3 linked regions of the Drosophila melanogaster genome follow. The protein of the gene in region 2 interacts with the protein of the main gene of each other region in a pairwise test. Each region holds a gene or a part of one and is shown on either strand. Other genes may lie near its edges. The genes, in order: CG42369, CG7006 and CG4267.

Region 1 (3,830 bases), on a different chromosome or scaffold from region 2:
TTTGTCATATAAAAGCTATCGTATGACCACAGAACAGCTGCATAACATAGCAACCACCATGTCTGCTATTCGGGATGGCTATACCACCATGTCGTCCTTTTTTTGACGGCTAACTGTGCCACGGAAACTTCTGCTGCACCGGCAACTCATTTAAGTTCTAATCACCTGCAACGACGACAATTAATTAGCTGGCTTTGGCCAACGACAGCGGCAGCAGCAGTCATTAGTCTGAAGGCCCATCGGTACCACAAGGGAGCCATGATGCTGCAGCTTCAGCTGGAGCTGAAGCAGGAGCAAGAGTTGAATCCTTAGAGCCCTGGCAGCATCTGATAAACAACGAGCAGTGGCAACACCAGGAGAAGCAACACTAACGGCAACATCTGCATAATGCGGCAAAAGGAAGTTGCTGTCCGCTCACCCCGAAGATGTGGAAAGGTGTTCCTGGACGATACTTAAGCGAAATCAGATGCGGCAGACGGATATTAAAAGCAGGCGACAACCGCAGGAACTGGCAAAATGTAATTATGTTGTGAAACTTGTCCTTTCAAACGCTGTCAATTGCAGCACAGGCGATGTCTTCAATATAAGATATTAGTATGTGGAACTATATAGCCAAAAGCACGCAACTCTCATCATTTAAGTAGCAAAGTTTGGTTTTATTATAAATGTCATCTCATCTTAGCTCATTGCACTTGGCCCGGATCATGTTGAAGGTAACCGTGCCGACGCTTTGTGCCGCGTTGTGGAGCAGCTCAAAGATGTGCCGGTTGCGCTGACCCTGCTCCACGGTCCGCTCGTGCAAGCGACGCAGTGCGTCCGAGTAGGCCGTGTACTTGGCCTCGCACTCCGTGTCCAGCTTGAAGACCTGATACAGCTGCTGCAGATCGTACAATTGGCGTGCGGTCTCGTCGTATAGCAAACTGGGTGACTGTGGCAACAGCTGCTCCCAGTGCTCGTGCACCAGGTCTAGGAATTCAAAATTGCTAAAAAGAAAGATGACGAACAGGTCCAGTCCCTTGGTCTTCAGCTGGGCGAGAAGATGTTCGGTGATGTGCTCGCTGCTCGATGTGTCCCGCATCTCCTCGTAATCGGTGCGCAAGTGGTGCTCCAGGTACGCATACACCCGTTGACGTTTCTCGAAGAAGTCCTCCGTGGCAAGCATGACGTCCAGCTGCTGCTGCATCTTGTCCAGCTTGGCACTGCTCCCGGCCAGATCAGCATGGTCACCGTCGATGATGTCCTGCAGCAGGGAACGCAGTATGTGCAGGTAGTTGTCGATGATTTCGGCGCCGGATAACTTGACCCGCTCGTACAGCTGCGCCCCGAACTCATTGAGATCCAAGCCGGTGGAGTTCACCTCCTTTTTGGTCAGATTGAGTTGCCCCAATGCCGCCCCGACTGTCTGTTCGTTGATCAGGCGACTGCCGCGATGAGGAGCCGGTCGGTCAAGTTGCTGGCAGAGGCGGTGCATGCGCATCATTCGGATCTCTTGTGTGCTAGTCTCCTCGGCAGCCCTCAGCGTGGATCTGACTCGGTTCAGAAAGACCAGGTTGCGCAGCACAATGGTGTACTCCATATCCGTGTCCAGGTGCGGACGCACGTCGAGCAGCTGCTTGATGAGCGTCACCTTCAATTGAAGCTTTGGTGTTGCGCGAGCTGCACTCATCTCTTCGGTGTAGTTGGCATTCCGAGGAATGCGTCCTAGACGATCCAGGTAGTCGTTGAGACTCGGTTCAATCCGCTGTTGCACCAGGTCGCTTAACTCGCGCAGAAGCTCCAGCTGGAAGTCCTTCACACCAAGATCCAGCTGGGGAGCAACAGGATCCGCCTGCATGAGCGGCAAGAGGCACACCCATGGCAGCCACCACTCGATCATCATCTTAGAGGGAGCTGGCTCCAACTGATTTTGATTGCAGAAACTGCGTTGTTGTCGCCGCCAGTTGGCTGATTAGACGAAGGGGCTTAGATTGGGGTCAGTAGTCAAGTCGGTGATGCGGTTAGTTCGTCTGATATGCCAAGCCGACCACTGACGATTAACCAGTGCGAAAGCGAACTGCGCTCAGTTCGACAGCCTTATCGCTACGGAGCTGGCACTGAGAGAAATAATGGGTAATCCAATTCGTGCAAATTATATTATATTTTATTTTCTGCTAATAATCGAACGCAAATTAAGGACAGCGAAAATAAGAAAGGAAAGAGTTCAGCGCTGATTACAATTCCTCTGTCAGAAACCAGCACAATTTAATACATAACTTTTTATTTGAAGGTAATGCATTTTTATCCTTTCCCCATTTCGACAACTATTGTTCGTCGAAAGGGCATTAGTGGCAACAACTGACTGGTGAATCGGGATAGGATTGAATGAGGGAATCGATTCGCTGTAACCTGGTGCCCGTGCAACTGCAAATGGCCAGGACATTGGTCCCTACAATGTATCAAATAGTCAGCGCTCCTTCCCAATTTGTCTGTGCGGGCAATTGTTGACCGAACTCAAACTGAGCGCGTGTGCGGGATACCTATCACAAGTTAGCTTAAAGTTGCAGACTGCAGACTGCTGCCATTTGACGACAGAACTTCAGCGGAATCCCAAATGGGATGTGGCATGAATCCACATGGATTCCAAATCAGCGATGCTCGTCGTTCTTCATTCTATGGCGCAGCTTGATTGAAGTTCGTCAAATTGATTGAACTCATGCCACTTCCCCTTTGCCAACTTTTAGCGAAAACACTTGATTTCGATTTCGTTCGAACATTTCTGTGCATTAGCCTTTAATATTCGATCAAAGGGTATCTGCAACCGCATAATGGCCAACACCTTTTAAGACGAAACCCAAAACGCAAAAAAAAACTATGGAAACGGTTTGGCAAAGAGCGTAAAAATGGGGAAAAATGGTTAAGAAAAAATGAAAGGCACACCGATAAAGTTTTTAGGAAAAAAAAAAATGTAAGAAAAAATAAAAGATACCAAAAACCTGAAGAAGAAATTTTCCAACAATTGCACAATTGGCATGGGCTACGCATTCGCTTCAATGGCGAACGACCAAGACACTTTGATTCAAACTGTGGCCAAGGACAAAGGATTTCTGGAGGACGAAAGCCAAGGAGTCATGGCTGGAGGAACGGCTGCCCTCCACATTGCTGGCACTTAAGTGACAAAATCTATTCGCAAGAAAGTCATCTGGTTAGGGTATCTACTAGCCCATAGAGCTTTGCTCCGGTCACTCATGGTCGGTCATTTTATTCTTATACTTCGCCAGTGATGCCTTTGAGAAAAACTTTGCCACTTTTTCCATCATCGCCGACAGTTTTCCTTTTTTTTTTTTTTGTCTTTCTGTTTTTTCGGTAACAAAGCCGAAACTAAACTTTCCAGCGCTTTGCCAGACGGGTGGAAATTCTCGCTGGCCAGGGGCGTGAAAAGCGCTAAAAGCGTTTTAATGATTTTAAAGGAGTTAAACTTTTGTTTTTTTCAAAACACTTCTTATGCGCTTTCTTCATTGTCCGAAAAAATTGCTCTTCTTTTTGAACAATTGTTTTGGTTATACTGTGCTTTGATTTTATCGCTCATCCCGCGCGTTGACCGAGCATCATTCTAAGTTACATTCTAAGTTGTGCTCTTTTATATGAATAAATACCCTGTACTCCTAGAGGCATTGGGTATGCACACATCTATATCCAATAAAGATGTTGGACAGTCATCTGTATAAGAGAATTTTAAGTTCTTTCAGCTACATTACTTGGGATCAGAATTCCCAAAGTAAATACAAATGCGAAAAGTACTTAATGCAAGATTTCATGATTTCCATTTAAATCGAAGATATTGTCATAAAATT
Region 2 (3,198 bases):
TGGAATTGTGGAGCTGCTGATGGGCCTCTTCGGACTGGGCTTCCTGATTGACTTCGTCTCCGGACCAGTTTCCTCGGGCTTCACCTCCGCCGTCTCGCTGATCATCCTCACCTCGCAGATCCAAAGTGTGCTGGGCATCACGGCCAAGGGCAACACCTTCGTGGAGATCTGGACGCAAGTCTTCCACAACATCGAGCACACAAGGGCAGGAGACACGGTACTAGGGCTAACCTGCATTGTCATCCTGCTGTTGATGCGCAGTCTGTCTTCCTGTCGAATTGGACCAGTCGACGAGAAGGAATGCTCATCCTTCCAGCGGGCTGTGAACAAGATCCTTTGGATCGTGGGTACTGCTCGAAATGCCATTCTGGTGGTCGTTTGCTGCATCATGGGCTATATGCTCCACACCGAGGAGCACGGAGCTCCGTTTCGAGTGGTGGGAGAGATACCACCCGGGCTCCCCAGCATCCAGTTGCCACCCACATCGTTGACTGCCAATGAAACCAGCAATGGAGTGGCCGAGGGATTCGTGGAAATGGTTCACAGCATGGGTTCCGGCTTGGTGGTGATTCCCTTGATCTCGCTCATGGAAAACATAGCCATCTGCAAAGCGTTTGGTGAGTCTTAAGCTCTATCTTTCCCTATATGGTTCCCTATAATAATAGTTGATCCTTTCAGCCAATGGCAAGCCAGTGGATGCCTCGCAGGAATTGATTGCCATTGGAACGGCCAACATCTTCAACTCTTTTGTCCAAGCCTTTCCGGGCACTGGAGCCCTTAGTCGTGGAGCAGTCAATAATGCCAGTGGTGTCCGTACTCCCCTGAGCAATATTTACTCCGGTGGCCTGGTCATGATTGCCCTGCTCTTCCTCACGCCCTACTTCTACTTCATTCCACGCCCTACCCTGGCAGCCATCATTATATCCGCCGTGGTCTTCATGATTGAAGTAAAGGTGGTCAAGCCCATGTGGAGATCGAAGAGTAAGTCATACAAAATATGGAGATAGTGGTCATTTGTTCATCTCACTTTAATAACCCATTAGAAAGTGATCTGGTGCCTGGAGTTGGAACCTTTGTGGCCTGCCTTGTCTTGCCGCTGGAGTGGGGCATCCTCATTGGAGTGGGACTCAATGTCATCTTTATCCTCTACCATGCTGCGCGTCCCAAGCTGAGCACCGAGCTACTGACCACACAGTCGGGTGTGGAGTACTCAATGATCACGCCAGATCGATGCCTGATCTTCCCGTCTGTGGATTATGTGAGGAATCTGGTCAACAAGCAGTCCATTAGGCAAAATGTCCCAGTGGTCATAGATGCGTCGCATGTCTACGGGGCTGACTTCACAACGGCCACGGTTATAGACTCGCTGATCAGTGATTTCAATCAGCGAGGACAACTGCTCTTCTTCTACAACCTCAAACCGAGTATCTGCTCCATTTTCGAGCACGTGTCGGCGGCCCAGTTCGTGGTCTACTACCAGGAGCAGCAGTTGGATGAGCTGCTCAAGGAGCGCAACTATGTGCAGAAGCGGCTCGAGACGGCCTAACTGGCTTATTCTCCTCAACACGTGATACAAATAATTTAGCCTAAGTGTTTGCTTTAATTATTTATGGCGTTGTAAATAGATTGTAAACTAATTGTGTAGTATTATCCAGAGCACACAACTATTAGAAATTGTAAGGTGAACAAATAAGTGTATTTCTTAATTACGTAATAATAACAAACAAAAATAATTTATCTTGTTTATTTCATGAAAGAGTAAAAGTCAGTGAGATTGGTTAACTCAAATCAATTAAAACTATTATTCAGTTTTGTTTATCAGATATATTTGATTTTGAATTTAAATACTTGGGCAATATACAACACTTGATAATGGCGCTATACAGCACTCTTAAGCTATCGATAAAAGCTATAGATAGACCGATATATTCAGTGCTGTTAGCCGTCCCTACTCAACACTGAAACATTTCTCACGTGTAAAGTTGAGCAGTTTGTTTTCCTCTTTTTTCCGCTTAATTTAACTTAAAATGAAACGCCTGAGCGACGAACGTGCCAAGATCTTGTTCGAGCACCTGTCCAAATAGTGAGTACCCAAAACAGATCATCGCAATGCAGCTAACAAGTGCTCTTACAGCATTGGCACAAATGTGAAGCATTTGATTGACCGGCCAGATGGAACATATTGCTTTCGGGAGCACAAGGATCGGGTCTACTACGTCTCGGAGCGGATTTTGAAGCTGAGCGAGTGCTTCGGCTACAAGCAGCTGGTGTGCGTGGGCACCTGCTTCGGCAAGTTCTCCAAGACCAACAAACTGAAGTTCCATATCACGGCCCTCTACTACTTGGCGCCCTACGCCCAGTACAAGGTGTGGGTGAAGCCCTCCTTCGAGCAGCAGTTTCTCTACGGCAACCACATACCCAAAACAGGACTGGGTCGCATCACGGAGAACGCCGGCCAGTACCAGGGCGTGGTGGTCTACTCCATGAACGACCTGCCTCTGGGCTTCGGCGTACTGGCGCGTTCCACAACGGACTGCAAGACCGCCGATCCCATGACCACCGTATGCTTTCATCAGTCGGATATCGGCGAATATATTCGCGCCGAGGACACGCTCTTTTAGATCCATAGATGCTAAGTTTTTACATGTTTTGTAGCAATAACCATGTTTAGGTAAATAATAAGTATGCTGAAAAACGGATAAACTGCTTTTGATTTTATATTTTTAATGTTAATACTGATAATAATAATAATTGATAATAAAACTTACACTACATTTCATAAATTATTATTAAAAAAAAAAATTTTAAATAGTGAGCCAATATTTTGTGGTATATTTTATGCAAGGTATTTTTTGAGTTTGAAATAGTATATACCCGCATTTTCAATGCCAATGGTATTTTGTACCGAAACGGTCACACGCAACACTGCAATTTCTGGACGCGATTTCGTGGGAATCTTCGATGGAAATGCGTCTGAATGCGGCTTCCATATGGCTGTTAATACTGTCGTATGGAGCAACTATTGGTAATAATCAGGACGAAAACAAAGTGGAGCTTCCAGTAGCGACCGGCGTCGAAAACCCGCACGCCCACTTTTTAATATAGGCCAAATAACCTGAGTCATCTAACCCGAACTTTCTTTGTCCACAGCTCAAGGAGAAAGAACCCGCGATAAGATGTACGAGCCCATTGGAGGAG
Region 3 (5,165 bases), on a different chromosome or scaffold from region 2:
GCATCAGCACATTGGGCGGGTGGGCATTTGCAGGCGAGTGGGTGGCCGCTGGTCACACGTGGCGTATGAATAATGTAGAATCTCAACTAATTAAGCCAAGTAAATGCATTAGCAACAACCCGTCGCAGCCTCTTGTCCAATATGTGCAATTTTGCACAGCTTTTCGGCGCTCCAAAAGCAGCAGCAACAATTTGGGTAACATATTGTTTGTTTTAATTAAAAATTCTTTTCCAAATATGCAGCGAATCAGGGCGAAAAACAGTGTGCAGAAGGCAGTCTAAAGTATCCTGTAACTAAAACGTTTCATCAAGATTTGGCGTCGAAAATTGGCATCTCTGCTCACCTTTTAAGTCCTGGCCCAGAGATCAATATCTGGAATATCCATTTCGGGTTTGGTGACCAATGCCATAACCAATGGAGCTTGAGGCACCGGCAATGCTCCTGTAGAAGCCAAAAGACTAAAAACGGCAAGACCCAGTATGAATGACAGCTTCATTTTGTTTACTTTACTAAATTTTCAAGCCTCTTCAAAAAGATTTGTATTCCGATCTGACATAAAGTTTAATGGTAACGCGATGAATCAATAATATAAGTAACTATCGTAGTAGTCGTATTCCGAATCATCATAGTAGTACGATCCTTCCTCTGATTCCTCACTTGATTCGGAGCTCTCATCTTCGGAGGAATCTTCAGATGACTCATCTTCGGTGGAATCTTCAGATGACTCATCTTCGGTGGAATCTTCAGATGTCACGTCACTTTCCGTGGTGGTGGTTGTTTCGGTGAATGCCTTAGAAGTCTCAGATGCTTCACTAGTTTCCGCCGACGAAGATGAAGGTACTGTGGTCACCTCAAATACCTTTTCGCTGGAGCTTTCAGTCAATGGTGATAGTTGCTGGCTGGAACTTTCAGGTGCTTCACTAGTTTCCTCAGATGATGATGATGATGGTGAAGTTAGTGTGGGCACGTCAGAAGTCACAGTGGATGGTTCACTGGTTGCCTCTGTGGACATTGATGACTTGGAAGCAACACTTTCTTTGGTCAAAACATTGGACAATCGAAATCCAACTTGATTTTGGGAAATTTGCGAGTTTATTTTAGGTCTGGCAGCTGCGAAGGCCAGGAAAGCTATAAAGTAAAAGCAAACACGTTGAGCGCGGAACATTTTCGGTTGAATATTGTGGAAAGAGTGGATAAGCCTTCCGTGCCTCGTGAGGTTTATATACCTATCTTGAAGTTTAGGTTACTAATAGTTATTCCCAGCTGACTTACACACTCGCTAGATGGTTTTTCTTTGTGAATAGTTCGCCATAAAACTTAATTGGCTCACGTTGTTGCGAGATAAGAAGTAACTTAAAAAAATGTTTCTAGAAATAGGTGTACTATTTATAATAAATTCTCTATAAAAGAAAAATAACCAATTATAAATACCAAACTTCTATTTCATCAACAAATGTACACATATTAACTAATATCCTACTCTTCCGTGGAGTTCTCAATATCATCTTCCCGTGGAGGCGGTTCCGTTTGCCACCTGTGGCCCATGGCATAGGGTGGCTTTGAGTAGGTTTTCACATAGAAAGTTCCGTTCTTGGGGATTGAGGGCTCCCCGCCCATCCGGAACTCTCCATCGCTCATTAGGAGCAGCCAGGTGCCATCATCGTGACGCTCGCAGCGCGGTCCCCAAAATCCCGCCGGACTCGTCAGCGACTCTATGAAGTAGTCATGGGATCTCTTATGAGAACAGCCATAGACATAGCATTTCTTCTGATTCTTCCCATAGTTGGGATAGAAGGTGGCGTGTCCCACGGGCTGCTCGAAGCCAAAGCTAACGCTGGTTTGAATGGACTCCACATAGGAGGCGTCACTAGCATCGATTCGGTACTCGTCGCTCTTCTCCCGGAACTGTGGACCCGCCGGATCCAGAGCGTATATGGTGTTGAATCGATATGGCATTATCTGCTTGCCAGCACTGCCGGCGATCTGCGCTCCCAGAGAGTGTCCAATGACGTATACGTCGTCGTAGTGCATGTTCGCCTCCTGGTTCAGATAGCGCACCAGTTCCGCCAGCAGGGCTCCCATGTCCTCCACCGTCTTGGCCACCTCGTAGTAGTTTACGTTCGTGGAAGTCTTGCTCCAGTCACATACGATCACATTGAAGTCCTCGTAGGGGGCGGGCTCTCCGTTGGGTCCCGGATCGGTCAGGCTGAGGTATGCGTTCTTAACCTTCCTTATATGCGAACCTTTGCTCTGACTCATCCAGCCATGAATGACTATCCTAAAAATAAGCAGTCAGGAAAGTCAATATAATATATCAATGTATACTAAACTAATAGCAATTCCCTTTAAAATAAACATATTTCAATTCATTTATGTATATATGATATCAACTTCGCCTGATATCTTATCTTTTAATGCAAAATTGGTGTATTGCTTGGCGTATTTGGTGTAAATTTGTGCAATTACTATCTGTTAGCTATTATAATGAATTAACTTGTAATTAGCAATAAATCAATTGTCAGGCCAATGGCAATGACTCAATGGCGATAATTCAAACGAAAGCTCAACCAAAAAATGTAAATATATAAAGCAGAGAAACCTGTTTTCGTGTTAGTCGCGAAATATAAAAAATAAATTATTTGGTGAGAGAATCTAGCAAATATTTGTTTTGGTTCTATTCATTAGATTGGTGCTTTGCTCTCACATTAATTTCTGGGGCTTAGTGGTAGTATGAATACTAAATACACTGTCAATTGTTGCGAGCTGAAAGGTTTGTACAGCTTTTAGCCATTATCTCACCGTTCAGTGTAATGAATTGATTGTGGCACACTCACTTCGCTGCAAAGTTCCCCATTCGATCGGGGCTTTAATCTTCCCGGAAATCCCCCTTACCTTGTTTGATGACGTGCATCGAAGCCCGAGTTCCTCAGGTTTTCCACATCGCCCACGAACAGTTCCCTTCCGCAGTCCGCGAAGTCCCGCTTGAAGAGTATGAACTGCATTTTGCCCCTCGAACTCGTGAAGGGTATGAGGTGCTTGAAGAACTTCTTCCAGAACGAGGGATCCACCCCCAAGGTCTTCTTCTTCACCAGCGTGTAGTTGCAGGTGGCATTGGGATCGAGTTCGGTTTTCTCCGAGCTGCTGGCTAGTTAAAGACGATATAGCAAGCAAACCAAAAATATATCAATCAAATGAATTTCTACACAGATCTGTGATAAGACCTTGAAATGTGTGAATATTACCCACCAAATACGATGGCCGCAAATGCCAAAAGCACCGCACTCATGATGCTAATCCGTCCCAGCTGCGAGATCATGGCTGTTCCAAGATATCTCCCTCGGGGCTTCTGACCGATCGAGTGTAGTGCGTCCGATGACCGATCTCCACCGTTATAAATTTCGAACGCCGGCGGAATAAGCCGCAGATCTGACCGGTCGACTGGTGCGTGCGCAACCAACTGACACAGCTCTCCGCCAATCTCTCGATGGTCGAGCGTTGCGAGCTCCACTTTCCGAATCGGAGCGGAGAGCGCGGCGACCCCAAGTCTACGCTCAGTGGGTTACTCACTCCAGTGATAACTGATCATCGCAGCTCGCTCACTCTCTCTCTCTCTCTCTCTCTCTCCTCATAGATCATTATACTTCCTTATAGAGAGTATCGATTAGGTTAGCAGGCTGATGATCTTGAAAATTAGAGGTATAAAGAAATATAAAGTGCTGTTATCTGTTTAAAACAACAAAAACTCATGAAAATTATAAGTGTATTATGCAGTTTTAAGTAAATATCCTTAAAAAACCGACAAATTGTTATGATTATACAAAACCATAAGCCCTTCTGGCGCTAATTGGCACGCATAAAAGGTTAACCGATCCATCCTTTCTTAACCCAGATAAGTTAATTACCCCATTAAGTTGACCTGCTGTAAAATACAGAAAAAGGCAGCGTAATGAGTATGGTTTTCCGAATCCTGGGGCCACGTTTTTATGGCTGTCAGTCAGCGCGAATGCTTATCGCAGATCCCGAAAATGCTCAGACCTATCGGCTAATTGCGTGGTCCTAATCACATTCGAAACCCGCTTAATTAAGCATCCCCGAGTGCATAATTCATTAATCCAAACTCAAATGAGGCGACAAATTTTCAGTCACTTAGCGAGTCAGTTTTTCGGCTGGCAAAGAAAATGGAAAATTGGGGCGGGTGGGTTTTCTTGTGGCCTTTCTTGCCTTCCACCTGCGCCACATGAAAACGTTTTAATTATGCAAATTTGGGCTGCTGCCTTGTTGATTAGAAAATCCGCGAGGGGCAAAGCGAGTTACTTGAGCCCTCGACAAGGTATGCAGTTCACCTCAGATTGGCACAAGGACCTCCAGGCATCAATCAATACGCAAACAGATCCTGGGGGGGCAGGGCAAACAGCCCATCCACCACGAGACCAATAAATTTGGCCAACCACCAATTAGATGTTGGAAATTAATTGGCAATGCCTCGCGACCAACTGAAATGGATGAAGGATGTGGTGCAGAATTCCTGCGGCTGAGGGTGAAATTTGAATTCGGTTCCTGGAAAAGGAAAATTCAGAGACTTGGTCACAGTTTTCCATTCCGAACAAATTTACTGCACTTTGAATCCCTTGTCATGTGTCGGAAAAAGTTTTTGCCCAGCTTGGAATGAGCTTAACTTAAAGACTGTTTCGCAGAGATTTAAGTGAAAGGGTTTTGCCTTTTGCCTATATCGGAAAATTCAATAACTTCATTGGAATATGGTTTAAATTTAAATAGTTTTGGCAACAACAATTCAACATCCCACCTCCCTTGCTCGTCCACTTTTTCATCACTCTACCGATCAAAGTTTCGGAGCGGAGGGTGAAAAGTTTTCTGGCCAAAACGGAAAAACTGTAAATCCACAACTAACATTTTTAAGCATAACAAAGTACGACGAGATTCCGAGAATAAATCTTGACGCCGCTTTTGGTTTAGTCAGGCGTAGCCCCAAAAAGCGCTTATTATGCGGTTCAAGGGGGCAGCAAATGGGGGAATGGGGGATGTTTTGTCCTGGGGACTTTTAGTTTTTAGCTCTACAACGATGACTGCAACTTTTTCTATTGACTTAATGCAGTTGGCAAGTGCAGTCGGGTCTGAACTTGGACACGGAAACTTTAAAGATTAAC

The links.
Region 1: the proteins of CG7006 (region 2) and CG42369 interact in a two-hybrid assay, tested with the Drosophila melanogaster proteins (one large-scale study listed by BioGRID).
Region 3: the proteins of CG7006 (region 2) and CG4267 interact in a two-hybrid assay, tested with the Drosophila melanogaster proteins (one large-scale study listed by BioGRID).

The regions. Positions count from the first base shown.
Region 1 is NT_033779.5:6,395,215-6,399,044, forward strand, and holds CG42369 (uncharacterized protein), read right to left. Parts: upstream 2,036-3,830; 5' UTR 1,880-2,035; coding exon 674-1,879; 3' UTR 639-673; downstream 1-638.
Region 2 is NT_033777.3:24,848,688-24,851,885, forward strand, and holds CG7006 (uncharacterized protein), read left to right. Parts: upstream 1-1,939; 5' UTR 1,940-2,027; coding exon 2,028-2,083; intron 2,084-2,134; coding exon 2,135-2,621; 3' UTR 2,622-2,698; downstream 2,699-3,198. Other genes in the region: Esp (epidermal stripes and patches), read left to right, coding at 1-617, 679-981, 1,044-1,546; Nct (nicastrin), read left to right, coding at 2,962-3,025, 3,151-3,198.
Region 3 is NT_033779.5:2,240,673-2,245,837, reverse strand, and holds CG4267 (uncharacterized protein), read right to left. Parts: upstream 3,461-5,165; 5' UTR 3,317-3,460; coding exon 3,247-3,316; intron 3,146-3,246; coding exon 2,893-3,145; intron 2,279-2,892; coding exon 1,477-2,278; 3' UTR 564-1,476; downstream 1-563.